2 linked regions of the Macaca mulatta genome follow. The protein of the gene in region 1 purifies or fractionates together with the protein of each later gene. This does not show direct contact. Links are inferred from orthologs where the notes say so. Each region holds a gene or a part of one and is shown on either strand. Other genes may lie near its edges.

What was found.
Region 2: the proteins of DCAF8L2 (region 1) and CUL4A purify together in Homo sapiens (affinity purification with western blotting; 3 studies listed by BioGRID and IntAct, with this or other methods). This does not show direct contact. The link is inferred for Macaca mulatta from reciprocal best matches to the Homo sapiens genes DCAF8L2 and CUL4A.

Annotation. Positions count from the first base shown.
Region 1 is NC_133426.1:27,584,618-27,588,730, reverse strand, and holds DCAF8L2 (DDB1- and CUL4-associated factor 8-like protein 2), read right to left. Parts: upstream 2,865-4,113; 5' UTR 2,806-2,864; coding exon 925-2,805; 3' UTR 807-924; downstream 1-806.
Region 2 is NC_133422.1:107,452,668-107,456,948, reverse strand, and holds the start of CUL4A (cullin-4A), read right to left. Parts: upstream 2,809-4,281; 5' UTR 2,794-2,808; coding exon 2,646-2,793; intron 2,452-2,645; coding exon 2,336-2,451; intron 1-2,335. Other genes in the region: PCID2 (PCI domain-containing protein 2), read left to right, coding at 3,787-3,822. UniProt on the Homo sapiens protein: Core component of multiple cullin-RING-based E3 ubiquitin-protein ligase complexes which mediate the ubiquitination of target proteins. As a scaffold protein may contribute to catalysis through positioning of the substrate and the ubiquitin-conjugating enzyme.

The sequences.
Region 1 (4,113 bases):
TATTTTCAAATATGAGAGAGTTTTATACCAGTAGCTGGCATTTACAGGAAATAGCTGTCCCAGGAGGACTTCCTGGAAGGTAACCCTGTAGGAGTTCCCAACCTTAAAACTTTAAGAAAACTTAATGCGCAGAGTAAACAATGTCATGTGATCAAATTTAATTTAATTCTTACCAGCTACAGTGTACTCAAATTTTTAAAAATTAATATATGGATTCAGAAAATGTAGACAATCTCATGTTATTTATTCTGAGGGAATGAATTATCTGGTTAGGAATTAATCTACACACTACTTCTTCTCTTTTCCTTTTCTGAGACTGTGTGTGTGCATGGCCAAGTGTTAGGAATTAATCTGCACACTACTTCTCTTTTCCTTTTCTGAGACTGTGTGTGTGCAGCCAAGTGTCAGTATCGACAGAACAAAACTATAGTTTGTCTTATTTTACTTCTAAAGAAGAAACATATTTCTGAAATTTTCAGGTTAACTGAAGAACTTGATCTTCAGAAAAAATTGTTAAAGATGAAAAAAAGTAAAAAGGTAACTGTTTTCAGAATGTCAGATTTGAGTAGATGCATCTAATAAGGGTATTAATTTTTTCAACAAAATTCAGAAAATCTAGAGGTCAACTATAAGGGAACAAGGGAAAAGAGGCATAAATAAGTTGCGTATGCACTCATGTAAGAATAAGGGGTAACAAAAGAGGCATAAAGAAACCAAGAGGAAAGGAATGAGAGAAGGAATGTATGGAAGAAAGAAAGGAAAGCAGAGAGGAAGGAATGGAAGAGATGGTTTTCAGCATATATTGTGGAAATTAGAAGACAAAAAGCAAATCTATTAATCTATTGACAATTCTAAATTAGTCAAACTGAATTTTAAAGTCCAGTGTACTTAGGTGGCATCTAGCTGGACTGGGGTATGAGGCCTTCAGGATGGCATGCACTGCACTCGGTCTTGGCCCTCCTCCTCGGATGTCTCTGAGGTGCTGGAAGACTCATCCGATTCTTCATCTGGAAATTCGGCTTCACCACTTCTCCAGCCCCGGTGATGACCTCTCTGTGTCAGGTGACGCATGAGGAACCAAAGCATGTACTGGTCAAACAGGCTGGCATGGTGCAAGCTATCTTCATCTCGTTCCCACTTGTTCTTCTTAATCACCTTCTTTAATCCAGTAAGCTCAGTGGCAGCTTTAGCTGTGGGTGTCCAGATCTTCACATTATGATCTAGGCCACTGGTCGCCAGCACAGGTAGGTAAGGGTGGGGTTCAAGACAGTTTATTGTACCTTCTCTGTTCCCCTTTAGGAACTGGATGATCTGGCAGGATGATTTCTCCCAGAAGAAGATATGCCCGCAATCACTACCGCTCACTACAAACTCACTCCTGGGGCCATAGAAATTAACACCTTTGACTGTGGTATTATTTCTGTGCCCCTTAAATCTCTTAGTGTATTGAGCACCATCACTGTGAGAGGAGTCGAAGAGGTAAATATCTTCATCATTGTAGCTGGCCAGAAGCTCTGTGCCATCGTAACTGTACACAACACAGGTGATGTTTGTTGGGAAAACACAATTAACCAGATGATGAGGAGTGAATTTCTTGAGCACTCCATTGTTTTCTTTCTCATCAATTCTCCTCTGGTCATAAATTCTTACAAACTGATCTTGTCCGCCCACTGCAAATTGGTAGGTATTGGCGGGATTCACAGTAATTGTATATAGTCCCACTTTCTTATCCTTTTCTCTTGTTACCACAACTTTTGAAGCTGGCCGGTCTTGTCTGAGGTCAATGGTGAAGACAACAGCATCTTCACCTGAAGTGAGGAACTTAGAAGGAGAGTCAGGCACCAGAGCCAACTTGTGGGCAGGTCCCCTGTGCTGGGCCACACACTTAGTATTCTCGAAATATGATGCATTAATTAGTTCTGCTACCCGTACCTGCCCATCACGGGCACACATGGCCAGGGTGGAATCACCACAATTAGGAAGGAATTTGGCCTGGAAGACATTATTTGTGTGACCACTTTCAAAGTTGAGTACTGGCCTCTGCCGTACCCAGTCCCACACTATCACCTTTAGATCATCACCGCTACTGGCCAGCCGGGTGCCACGCTGGTTAAAGTGTACAGTATTGACACAACCGACATGGTCTGCAAGACGATATTGCAGGCGGAAACGCTGCACAAAGGCTCTTGCCCCACAGGCCTCATATACAAAGCGGGGACGTGAACCCAGCTGCCGCTGGTGAAGAGCAGTAACGACCTGCCAGCGAGGTAGGGGCAGGGCAGATGTCTCTGAGGAAACCCACTCCTCCAGCGCCCGATCCTCCTCTAACAAGTACTGCTCATGGTTGGCACCACTGCATTGTGGACCCGCCCGAGGCTGTTCTTCTTCCTCCTCCTCCTCCTCCGCCTCCTCCCCTCCCTCCGCCTCTTCCCTTCCCTCCTCCTGTATCTCCTCTTCTTCCTCCTCCCTTTCTGTCTCCTCCTCTCCCACCAAAGGGTAATGGAATAAACTTTCACCACTCATGAGGAAATGCTCAAAGTCCTCCATGCTGTCAAGTTCGATGTCTTCACTTGCACTTTCTCGGTCTGAGCTTCGATTTTCTGTGCCGACATCATTGGGGAATCCACCATCCCTGGTATCACTGTCATCTCCGGTCATTGTCACACTCTGCTCTGAGGTCGCTATGTCAATGTCTGAGGAGTCCTCTGTCGCCGCCACTGCTCCAGACTGCTCCTCTGGGCTGCTGAACAGGCTTTCAGTCCCTAAGTCTGGTAAGCCATCTGTGCTTCCCTCTTGGTGGGACATCTCGAACGATCTTTGCTGTAGTTGATCTGGAACTGCAAAGGCCAGGCCCCTAAAAGCTCTGGGAAGAAAGTTGGCCTGCGGTTAGGACTGATGGTCGTGAAGGAAGTAAGCGCGTGGCAATCAAACGCCAATCTGATTGGCTAAAGGGGACAATAAACTATTCTGCCAAGGCAGTTGCCAGTATGGGATCCCATGAGGTTCAGAAAGCTTCTTACCTGCTCGCCTCCTCGCAGCATCCAGATTGCTCTAGGTTTTCCAGGCCCAGAGCCCCACCCCGACAGGCATCTTACACTGTGAGTAGCTGCGGGTTTTTGAAGATGAAACTTGCTGCACCTTGGAAAATGTTCTTATTAGAGAACCATGAGCAAAAGTGATCCTCTTTAAGCAAAATAGTTTTTAGAAGCCTCTCAGTGTTTTGCTTGAAGGTAATGTACTCTATAAAATGAAGATGTAGGCAAGAACAGTGAAAAGTTAGCTAAGTGTCCCACAGCTAGTGACTTTTTGACATACAAGAAATATCTTAAATCGAGCAGCTTGAGGGAAACCTTGAGTGCTCTAACTGGTAGAATCGATATAGGGTTGCCAGATAAAATATGGTATGCATAGTTAATTGCATTTCAGATGAAGGATGAATACTTTTTTTAGTATGAGTAGGTCTCAAATATTACATTAGATATATTGCCACTAAAATTTTATTTATTATTTATCTGAAATTCAAATTTAACATGGTGTCCTCTATTTTTATTTGTTACATCTGGCAGGCTCCTTTAGTGAAAAGAATTTAGACCCTCAGTGTAATGAGGGCTGAAATCAACTGATCAATTGAAAGTGGACATTGAAATGAGTAATGGCTTCACCTATTTGAGATAGAAGTAGTACTTCCTTTTTTTCTTATGCCACTAGAGTTCTTATATATTTATTTAGAGTTAATTCAATTTAAGATACTTAGGGAACACCAACACAATTTTATGGAAAAAGAAATTATGTGATGTCATAGAACTATAAAATCTCTTACATATCACCCACAATATGTCAGAGGTTTCTGTGGGGCCTCTAAGGAACAGAAAACAGCTCTACAGAGACAATTAATTGGCATTACTGTGTTAATTTAATAGTTTCTGTGAATGAATTATCTAAGGTGATGTCAGCATATTTTCAAAGGGCTACAGTAAACTGCTAACTAAGAATGCCAGAATGAGGAAAACAAAGTTTCCCTCAGAGTAACTGCAAGATAAATGCAAAATTGATTAAAAGTAGAAGTACACAGTCTTCTAAAGAAAGCGGATGGTTCCAAGGCCAATAGTAACA
Region 2 (4,281 bases), on another chromosome or scaffold:
CGCTCTGACTCTAGATTTATATTTCACAATATATACAAAAATTCACTCTACATAGATCATAGACCTAAATGTAAAACCTAAAACTCTCAAATGTCTGGAAGAAAATATAAGAGAAAACTTTGTGACCTTAGATTAGGCAAGATTTCTTGGATACTAAAAGTACAGTCCATAGAAGAACAAACTGATACATGTGACCTGAAAACTTAAAACTATTACTCTTCAAATGGCACAATTAAGAGAATCAAAAGACAAGTTGAAGACTAGGGAGAAAGTATTTGTAAGGCGAATATCTGATACAGGACTTGTATCCAGAATACTTAATAAACTCAAATACTCAATAGTAAGAAAATAACCAACACAACAAAAATGAGCAAAATATTTAAATAGACACTTCGTCTAAAAAGATACATAGAATGGCAAGTAAATATGAAGATGCTTCACATCAGAGGGAAATGCAAACTAAAACCACAGCGACACTCCACCACACACCCACTAGCGCAGCTAAAATTATAGGCTGAGGACACCACATGCTGGTGGCGGACTGGAACTGGAACTCCCATACACTGCTGGGAGAGGCACAAAAGGGGCAGCCACTGTGAAAAACAAGAAATTTCATAAAAAGGTAAACATATATTTTCCATATGACCCTTGAGAACTTACTTCTAGATAAAGAAGTAAGCAGAACTTACCTGAGAGGAATAAGAATGTATGTCCAAACAAAGGGTCATTCACAGATGTTCACAGCAGCTTTATTTAAAACAACCCAAGGCCGGTGCAGGGGCTCACGCCTGTAATCGCAACACTTTGAGAGGCCAAGGCAGGCGGATCACCTGAGGTCAGGAGTTTGAGACCAGCCTGACCAACATGGTGAAAATACAAAAATTAGCCAGGTGTGGTGGCGGGTGCCTGTAATCTCAGCTACTTGGGAGGCTGAGGCAGGGGAATCGCTTCAATCTGCGAGGTTGCAGTGAGCCAAGATCGCGCCACTGCACTCCAGCCTGGGGTGACAAGAGTGAAACTCTATCTCAAAGAAACAAATAAAAAACCCCAAACATGGACACTCAAATGTCCATTAACTGATGAATGGAGAAAATAACTGTGGTATACCCATTCTATGAGGTAATAAACAAGTTACAATCACATTGCGTGCACATGAATCTCAAAAGCACTGTCCTAAGTGAATGAAGCCAGACACTACAAAATAGATGACTGCATTTAGATAACGTTCTGGAAATGACAAAATATAGCGACAGAAAGCAAATGGGGGACTGCCAAGGGTTAGGAGTCAGGGGAGAGGGCTGATTGCAAAAGTGGTCATGGCAATTTCGGGGGTGGTAAAAATATTCTACCTTTCTACCAAGAAGAGTCTATCTTGACCATGGTGCCGGTTACATAACGGTATATATACATCTGTTAAAACTTCTTGGAGTGCATATTATATGTAGACTGTATCTCAAAGCTGACAAGAAAACATAACTCACTTACACTTCAGACAAAGAATGGATGTGTATGTACACCAAACTGTCAACAGTTTTCTTTGGGTGGTAGGAGTATAGGTGATTGAAGTCTTCTTTTATATATTTTTTATAATTTTTACAATGCAGTCACTTGCATATCCAGAAAAGAATTTTTTTAATTCAAGTATTTTCACAGAAATAAGTGTATGACACATCGTGACCCAAAATGTAGATATCAGACTACTTAATGAACGTTGTTTTACAAAAAGACGACGCCAGAAAAAAACATCCGCATGTAAATAAAATATCCAAGTACGGTAAAATGCACTTTTAGCCATTTTTTGTTACTTTATAAATGGAACACCATCACTTTGAATTAAACGCTACAAAATCTGAATATCTTAAAGGCAACCACTGATCACAAAACAGAGAAGAAAAGCACTGTTTTTGAATTTTGAAGTTTTTCAAAATCTGAATATCTTAAAGGGAACCATTAATCACAAAACACAACAGAGAAAAAACCCTATTACTGTGGCAAGTGACACAGTACTAACAGTTTTATTTATAACGAGAGAAATAATTTGCTGTATACTTGCAAAATATGAGTCACGTGGCTCCTAGAAACACACCTCCTTCTCTTCGGTAATGGGATAACTTTAAGAATCGTTCTAAGCAGCTTAAGCCTGAAAACAAAAATTCCACCACGGCAATAAACAAAACCACTTGTTGCCTCTGGGGCTCCCGGCCCTGCAGTGGAGGCAAACGCCCTGCCTTTCCGCTCCCCGGCGAGAGCCTGCGAGGCACCCGGAGCGGCCGCCCGGCCGCGTCTGCGTCACGCGGGGCAGGAGCGGCGCCCCCAGCCTCGGCCGCCGCCTCACCTGGTAGAGCTCCTCGAGGTTGTACCTGATGGAGGTGCTGCTCTGCACGGCCCGCACCGCCTCGTGCAGCTTCCGCCACGTGTCTTGCGTGTAGTTGTCGGGCAGCCGGGGTCTGTCTGCAGGGCGGAGAGAGAGCGGGCGGCTCAGGGCGCGCCGCGAAGCGCCCCGCGTCGCCACCCCCGACCCGGCCGGCGCCCCAGCGCCCGCGCTCAAGAGGCCCGTACGGATCTCGGGCCTTCCCCCCAGGGCGGGCGGGGTCTCGTGGGGCCCGCTGGGGTCGCCCGGCCCTCGACCCGGCCGCCGCACCCACCTCGGAAGTTCTTGATGACCAGCTTCTTGGAGCCGCCCGCGCCCCCCGGCTTGGCGGGCGCGGCGGCCAGGGCCGCGGGCTTGGTGAGGCCGTTGGTGCGGCCCACGAGCGCCGAGAAGCTGCCCTTCCGCGGGGCCTCGTCCGCCATGGCTGGGCCGGAACCGCCGCGCCCCGCCCCGAGCGCCGCCGCCCGCCCAGCTCCGCTCCGCCCGCCCCGGTCCGCGCGGCCTCCGCCCAGTCCTCCTCGCGCGCCCCGCCCCGCCCCGCCCGCGTGCCCGAGTCCAACCGCCGCCGCGCCCGGCTACTGCTGAGCCCTTAGGGGCGCGCGCTGGGAACCCCTCCTGAGGGATCGGACCCCCCCTAAGAGCTTCGGACACCCATTCCTGGCTCGAGGGCGCGCGCCGGGACCCCCACCCCCGCCCCCGAGGGATCGGGACAGCCCCGGTTCCGGGGGGCGCACCGGGACACCCCCGGGGCTCTGGGTACCCCCTCCTGGCTCGGGGGTGCGTGCCGGGGGCCCCCTCCTGAGGGGCTCGGGAGCCGGGACCCCCTCCTGAGGGCCCCAGGGAGCGCTCCTCCTGAGGGTTCGGCACCCGCACCCGGGGCGTGAGACCACCTCGAGGGCTTGGGGGTGCGCGCCGGGACGTGCCCCAACTTCTGAAGTCTCGGGAGCGCGCGGCGGAGGCACCTTATGAGAGCTCGGGAGCGCGCGCCATGTCCCTCCCCTCCACCCTCGCTCGGGCGCGCGCGTCCCGAGTCCCTGGCCCAGCCCGGCGCGGAGCGTGATCCGCGGCCTCGTTTTCACAAGGGGCAGTCGAGGGGACAGCGCAGTGAAAGGCACTTTAGCAGTGGGGCTGTTCTCGCCACTGGACCCCAAACCCCTCAGCCCGGGCGGGCCCGAACACACAATCAGAGTCGCTGGCGTCCCGGCTGAGAGGACGGGGGCCCGACAGAAAGACCCCGGGACCCCTTAGCCCGAGCGTGTCGCCGAGCCGGTCCCTGGATTCTCCCTCCGGAACCACCCTGCGCACAGGAGACGGGGTCGGGGGCTCCGGGACCCAGACGGACCGAGGGCAGGAAGTGACGCCAGCTGTCCCGCTTGGGGTGTAGGGGGTGGCGCTCTGTGCTCGGCGGCGCTGCCATGGCACACATTACCATCAACCAGTACCTGCAGCAGGTGGGTCCTAGCCGGGGAGCGCGCGGCGGTGTGGCTGGCCCTCGGCGTGTTCCGTGTGTCCCCTCCTGCCTTGGACCCTCAGGCGTCTTCCTTTCGCGCCTCGCCCCCTGTCCTCTGTCCGGGTCCCCGGCGGGCAGCGGCGCGAGCCGACTGAAAGGCCGAACAGCGGCGGCCGGGGCTCCCCTGCAGGGCCGCCGTGGGGGCCGGGCGGTGTCCGTGGATCGCGGAGTTGTCGCGGTGTAAGTAGACGCGGGGGCTCCAGGTCACTGCCCTCATTGCTGGCGTGTGTGGCCGCGCCCCCAGGGGGCCCGAAGGGCCTGCGAGCCGCGCCAAGGGCCCGGTGTGGGCGGTGCTGTGTCGGGTGGACGCTGCTTCCCAGCAGGATGCGGGATGACTTCGGGGACTCCAGGAGGCGATGGAGGGGTAAGCGCGAGGCTGTGGCGGTGTTTCAGGCCGGGC